Schizosaccharomyces pombe: one gene and its partner. The gene in region 1 interacts genetically with each later gene. Each region holds a gene or a part of one and is shown in the gene's direction. Other genes may lie near its edges.

Evidence for each region. Genes that interact genetically often act in the same process or in processes that back each other up.
Region 2: mutations in clr5 (region 1) and stn1 together harm fitness more than expected from each alone (negative genetic interaction), as found in Schizosaccharomyces pombe (one large-scale study listed by BioGRID).

What each region holds. Positions count from the first base shown.
Region 1 is NC_003424.3:5,426,347-5,430,103, forward strand, and holds the start of clr5 (silencing factor Clr5), read left to right. Parts: upstream 1-2,009; 5' UTR 2,010-2,060; coding exon 2,061-2,176; intron 2,177-2,772; coding exon 2,773-3,757.
Region 2 is NC_003423.3:1,161,038-1,164,794, reverse strand, and holds stn1 (telomere cap complex subunit Stn1), read left to right. Parts: upstream 1-1,712; coding exon 1,713-1,821; exon of another isoform or gene 1,822-1,876; coding exon 1,877-1,975; exon of another isoform or gene 1,976-2,105; intron 2,106-2,129; coding exon 2,130-2,899; 3' UTR 2,900-3,310; downstream 3,311-3,757. Other genes in the region: protein mim2, read right to left, coding at 303-477.

The sequences.
Region 1 (3,757 bases):
ATGGATTAACTCTAGCACGACATGTTGGAGAAGAAAAAAAAATTTTATGAGGGTAACGAAATTTGACCCCCATAAATTCGACCCCATACACTAAAACGCAGTAAGACTAATAGATAGGGTGGGAAACACCGAAGCTGATAAAGTAGTGGAGTAATGCCAGTCGTTAAATGAATATATTGTAACGGTGGAATAAGTAATCCATATCACTATATTGGTTCAATGAATTGTTGTGAGAGAGACTGATGGATAAAAATATATACATATAATTTTATTTCCTTTTTTTTTTTTTCTTTTTTGGAGATGGGATTCCTTAGTTTATGTTGATATAAAAATAGAAAAAGACAAATGTAATAAGATCTGCAAAATTCACACAACTTTATGTTTTTGTTCACATGTTACATTCAACTTTATGTTTATTCACATGACTTGATGATTTTATTTTGGCGGACGCAGAGTTTGCCAAATTGAAGGAAATAGAGTTGTGTCTGATATGGATGCGAAAGGTATGCGAGTGGCATAAAACTGGCATCCCAGTGTTACAAAATATATATTTTTTTTTAATATTTAGTTATTCATTTACTTATTGGGTTATATTTACAAGACAGTGTGATGATAATACAAATAATAGAGTGGAGTATGTTATACGAATAAAGTATGTTATGAAAAGTTTCTAATAAATAAATTATGCTATTCCGTATGTTGTATAAATGAAGCTGCTATAAAGTATGTTAAAATTGTATACTAAAAGAATACAAGGTGGATTATGTAGTAAGAAAACAACGAGTCTTACTAGCAAGTTTATAAACTTTCCTCGGGATGAGCGATAGCATAAGTTTTGCAAGGTAAAGGACATCGGCAGTGTCAAGAGGAAGAAGTCGATAAAAAGGAAATACTCGATCAAAGAACTTTAAAATAAATTAAGGAAAAAGAAAGAAATTACCCCAATTATTTTTTAGTATTATTTTTATTTTTATTTTTCTTCTTTCTTTCTTTCTTTTCTTATCCTATTTCTCTTCTTATCCCATGCCTTACCCTACCTTTTCATATCTTACCTTGCCATCCCTTCTATTTCATCTACTATTACCTCTGTCTTGTAACACTTGATGGATGCGTGCATCAGTGTGCTCTCTTTCATGGGTGCTCGCTTCTTCCTCCTCTTCGTCCATCCAAATTAGGTACGTTCGGAGTTGATCATGATTTCGGATTTTCAATTTTTTTTCTCAGACACTCGTCTCCAGATACCCATGTCGTCTCCAAAGCAACCTGTTACTCGTTTGCGAAAAGAAAAAAATACCTTGGCAAGACAAGGCAAGCAGGCATCTCTGCCCAACATTTACTAGCAGACCAAATCGCGAACATGTCAGCTTTCTAACGTTCATCCTTCACTTACTGGAAATGGGACAGAATGCTCTCGTCGAGGATTTAACGTTAAAGGTTATTGTTGAGTTGACAAAAGGTGGAAGAAGCGAACAAAAGAGTTGGTAAAAGAAAAAAGTTGCCGCTAGCGAGTCCACCCTCTACCAATAGATCAAACGTGCCAAAAGACATATGGGATAGCAAAGGCCCAAACTCCCCCAACCCAACCTAACCTAACCTAACCTACCTAAGAGTAGTGTTGAGTAGAATGAGTTTCAGTACTTTGAGTGCGAAAGGAGTAATGAGTTTTGTTGGATGGATAAGAGCAGGGAAGCGCCATCATACGAAGCGGCTTAACAGTGAAACCGAAATTCTCCATGAGCAATATTTAATGAATATCTCACGATGTGATTGGAAAGATGGCAACCATCGATACGAGGTCATTTTTCCGAATGCCTGAGATGATAGAAAAAAGTTGCGCCCTTTTTGGCTATATATTTCTATCCTCTTTGACCCGATGTTCCTTACATGTTTCCGGGGGTGTACCTTGGATCGCTCTATTTTATCATTTAACGTTGTTGTCATTCGTGCACTAAATTGATACACTATTTTCACCCCTACTTTACGAGCCACCACTACCACCAACTCTGGCCACTTCCAATCTCAACTTGAAACAACATTAGACAACCGAAAGTTCGATTTCAATGACGAAGGAATGGGAATGTCGAAGAGAGCAGATCATCGAGCTTTCCAAGATCAATGGAATGACGATTCGCGAGCTGCAGGCGAGAATGTCAAAGATGTATAAATTTGACGCTAGGTAAGTAGTTTGTTGGTGTCGCCGCAGGGACTACAAGTTGCGCCATTTTGTGCGAGATGCTTGCGATGCGACGAGGAGCGAATAAGTACAGGGCTAGAGGTACGAGAAGGTGAATGGAATTGTGTGTTTGGATGTTTGGGTGTAGGTCGTCGTTGTGTGTCGTGCCTGCATGGACATTGGCTATTGTTGGGTATGTGGGGTTGCGACAATAAAACAGGATGGCAGTTTTCCAAAACATCCTCAACTGAGACATTCATTCAACAATGAAATTTTGTTTCTTTGTTTCTTTGTCTTTTTGGTTTGCTGTTTTGTTTGGAATATCTTTTTTTTCATCCACTTTGTCCAATCCACTTACATACAGGATACAAATGTCCTAAACAATAACCCGTCATGTATATCATGTGCATGCTCATGCAAAAGACCATGCCATATGAATCCATCCTGTTTTCCTTTCCTCTATTTCATTTGGCGTTGCGTTGAAGTTGTCTTTCGCTACTTCGTTTTCGCTCACGTTTATGTTCACGTATCGCGTACTTGTCTCTTTAGCTCTTTTTTTTTGTTGTTTTGTTTCATTACTCTTGCTAACTTTTCTCTAGTATTCGCTCATACAAACGCGTGTTGGCTCGATGGGGAATTCGAGTACATCGTCAACGTTTTGTCTCGCCCCGAACCGAAGAGGCCGCCGCGCGAACCGCTTCGGGCGACGTTTCAAAGGCTCTCGATGAACTCGTTACCCAATTATTTCATGCGCGACAAAGTGATAAAGATTCTTTGGCCCAGATAGAGGCGAACTTTGGTTTAAAACTTTCGAAACGTGCTTTGCATTATCGTCGTAAGAGATTAGCCTTAAAGCGTCCTCCTCCTGACTCCCACGATTCTCCCAATAACTCTATCCCTTTGATGGCCAACTCTTGTCTTTTGTCTGCTGATAACTCTTCGTCGTCTACAACTTCCAATCCTAACGTTGCTCCTCCCATTAGCACTCTTCCTGATCCCGTCGCTACTATATCATCTTCTTCTTCGAGCCATTTAGATATGGGTGCCATCCATCCTCCTCACCATAGCTCGCTTCCCCCTCACATGGGTGTGGATCCTTCAACTATGGCTGATGCACACAATGCGCACTCTTCTTTGACTCCTCCACAGTCTGGCTATTCTAGCATGCCATCTCTTCCTTATTTGCAGCAGCCTTTCCAAATACCCTCTCAACGTTTCTCTCGACAGCAACAATCTCATCCATTCCCTGCTGCTCAACATGCCGTTAACGGTCAGCCACAAGCTTTGTATCCTTTCATCTACCAATCTAGAAATGTCCCAATGGGCTCCACCATGTTTGCTTCTTCAAACCAATCTGCTGCTCATCCTGACGGTAATAATGCCCTTCCAATGGACAATACTCATGCCAACATATCCTATATGCAATCATCACAATCGATGCCTGTTAATTCTTATTCCTATGATCGATATACTCCAAATCAACCATCTTATCTTGAAAGTAAGCCTGGAAATCACCAACCCAGTTATACATCTGAACAACCTATGTATTCTACAGCGTCGGTTCCTCAACAAATTTCTAACGGA
Region 2 (3,757 bases), on another chromosome or scaffold:
GTAGAAAAGGTTAAGAATGAAAGACTAATAGAACAGTAATGGAAACAAAAATGTTTAAAAAATAACGAAAGATGTAAATGTAGACCAACAAGCAGACCATTTAAAAACAGTTTATAGGAAGAAAAAGCTATAATTCAAGCTGATGGAATAAGAAAATCAGTTGTGCTCAATCTTTCTCCAAAAACGGATTTTTTTGCTCTATTATTCAATTATTTGCAAAACTTATTTCCTCTTTGAGAAACTAAAAGCAAATAAAAAAAATCCACCATCTATTCCTATTCCTTTAATTTATACTAACTTACCATGAAATGCGAATTTACGACCAAGAAACTTTCCTAACAACGGGAACACCACCAAACATAAAACTCGTTCCAATTGTTCAATGGAATCCTTTAAATCATCATCCAATTCACTAGAATAGGTATCATCTTCTCCATCTGAAATTGGGTCAATTTCAAGATCTAAAACTTCGGCCATGTTGTTTTCACTAAACTGACTTTAGAATAGTTCGATTGAACTAGCAACGTTGTATTTAGAATTTAATTAAAAAATTTTTCTATTGTCAGCAATCGAAACCCCTTTAACGTATGCTTAAAAGTGTATTATTACCAAGTATGGCTCTGGTGAAGGTCACATAGTGGCTGTTACATTTATACATAGGACATTTGTCGAAACAACATTGATCATGTGAGACTAAATTTTGAAAACAGGGAGTATATTCAGCAAAAATAATTCATATTCACTGATGATAAGAGGTTATTTGTTTCTATATGCTTTACCTATGAGTTTGGGTACATTGTTTGTATTCTTGGTATTGCTAGTTTATTCAATTTCAGATGAAAGCTGAGCAGAACAGCCGCTGTCATGCTATTCGCGGATACCCTTTGTTTCACAACAAATATTTCGACCTAAGAAAAGCCTTTATTTTTGCCATCCTTACCTCTAAGTGCTTTGTTTGGTAACACTTTATTGAAGAATTGATAGACCGTTATAAACATAAAACAAAAAAAAGTTGGGAGTTTTGGTTTTTTTTAGTTACTCTTTTAAAGAATGCATTTTTCCACGAGGTTTCTTGATCGAACACAGTAGGAGCAATATAATTTATCTTCAAAACAGTTGAATGTGAAACATCAATAACTGAAGAAGTTTGGTTTTCATACCTCCTTGCGTATTCCCTATTCATAAATAAATCATATAATTTAGAATTATCCGGTATATGAAGATAGGAATTTGTGTGCTAGAATTTAGCAAGATATAAACAATGCACATTGGTGTGACATTTACAAAATTGGTTGACGAATTCTGTACTCTCACTTTTTGTCAGTAGACGTCTTTTTTAGGATCTTCTCTCAAATTCAATTATAACTAAGTTGCGTGAAACCAGACTAAATTCAATTGATAAAGTTGTTTAGTCAATTAGCATTTTTTATAACAGCATCAATGCATGTCCTAATAAAGAGTTAAGATATTTTTTTTCCTTTTAATCTTACTGTAGAAACTTAAATAGTTATTATCCTCGTAGAATTGCTCTATCCTTATTACGCGCACTCAGGAAGATGAAGACTTCACAAACACCAAATCATTGCTTAATTTTCGAAAACGCTGCGATTGTTGTTGATAGTTGACCAGAAGCATACTAATTTTTATTTACTTATATACTTGAAAAATTGCAAATCATATGGTTGAAAGTCTTTAAGGGAATGACCTAATAAATGCTAGAAAATGAAAATCAACTAACGCATCAATTTCCTACATTATCAAGATGGAACCCCATGTTTATTAGCGATGTTCATAAAATTTCATTTCATCCACATTTACAGCGTAAGTGCTCTTTCTGTAAAATAAATATCACAAAGTGATTCTTACAAATATCTAGGATACATTGGCTTCTGGATGGGATTTCCCATAAGATGGATTCAAATTGTTGGCTATATTGCGGCAATTGATATTTATGAAGGAAAGCATGTTTTAACAGGTAACGAATATCAGCATTGAGGCAATAAGCAGTTCCACTACTGCATACACGACTCATTTAGTTGTTGAATCTAGTTAAGGTTTTTTATAAAATCAACTTTTGAGAAGCATCTGCCTCTATAGCTCCCTTTTTTCTATTTCCTAACTGAATTTAGTGGATGATTGTAGCGGGATGGTATTGCGTGTCGTGTTTATTATTCAAGATGATTTTTCAATGTCAAAAAGAGCAATATCTATGTCTCCTGGAAATGTTGTCTGTGTCTTTGGAAAGATAAATTCTTTCCGATCTGAGGTTGAATTAATTGCTCAGTCGTTTGAAGAACTTCGTGATCCAAATGATGAATGGAAGGCATGGCAGAAAAGGATGAGATACAAAAAAAATTTAACCAAAATCTCTAAAAATCACCATTCAATCATTCGCACACCCAAGAAATCCTATTTTCCTAAAGATCATGCGAAGGAGTTACTTAAGTGCATAAGGCAGATGTGTAAATTAAATGTGCAAGCTGGATTTACAATTGAAGAACTCATTATTTATTTAAAAGCAAAAGAGTTGCACCTCCCACTTGTTCATATATTCAACGTCGAAAATGAAATAGTAGAGAACTGTGATGGAAATCACATACTGGCGCTTAATTTCTCTTTGCAAACATTACTACAACATGGGCGGATTGTGAGAAAGTCAAATTCAGTTTATATGCTTGTCACTTCAAAAGACATAATACGCTTTGTGATTCCTCTGATGGCAAGTGGTCTTCTCGAAGCCCACAAGGTTCAAAGCATAGTGAGAGATTCCAACCCAATGTTTATCACACTCCCTCTTTCTGCGATTGCTAAACACATTTGTCAATTTTTGCTTCGTACAAAAGGGAAATGGAGGCAAGCAAAGAAATATACCTGGGTGCGAGATAATCAGTTTGTATAAAATGAATTTCCAGTTTCCTTTAATATCACATTGACGCGGAGATTTAATTGCCTAAAACTAAGTTCATTGTTCTATATGCAATATTACAATCCTCTATTAATTTAAGAATATGTTTACGGAAACAGATCAATAAGTACACATGGGTATATAAGCGGTTAATCTGATGATGAAATAGATTTACATGTATAAAGCTTTCTTTTTTACTTTTGAATTGATCAGTAGCATCATTGCATCAAATTTAATTAATGGTCAGCACCAATTCATCAGCTGCTTATACAATCTAGGGTAAAGAAATATAACTAAGCATGATAATAAGTTACTCTTAATTTCCTGAAGTTCAAACTTGAAATGCTTTGCATCGCTTACTGGCCTAAGCATCGTACTTCGATTATTATAGTTGGAAGTCATGAGGATAAAACTATGTCTTTTCTGATCATGTCGTAAAATCTAGCTGCTCTTCATACTGAAATTGGAATATTAGATAAGATTTAACTACTAAAAAAAAAGATTAAGGCATCCGATTGCCAATTGTATAGATTGCAATGATGCTCCTTACTGCTTTGAAGTTGAGTAAAAACGAGATAAGCCCATAAACTTATGCAATTTATTTTAGTTGTTTTTAACTACTAAATTGACACTTCATATTGGTGGTTGTTATTTTTTTTTAGGTATCGAAGAATTGCTTATGGTCGTAGAGTTATGTCAATCTATTAATTGATCCAGTATTCTCGCACTGGGAGATCACACATCGAATAAAATTTATTTCGTTTCAATAAGCAACAATAAATATAATAATTGGTTTCTTTAAGCTCGTATTATGCCGCAAAATCTATATTTCAAAATTTAATCCTCATAATA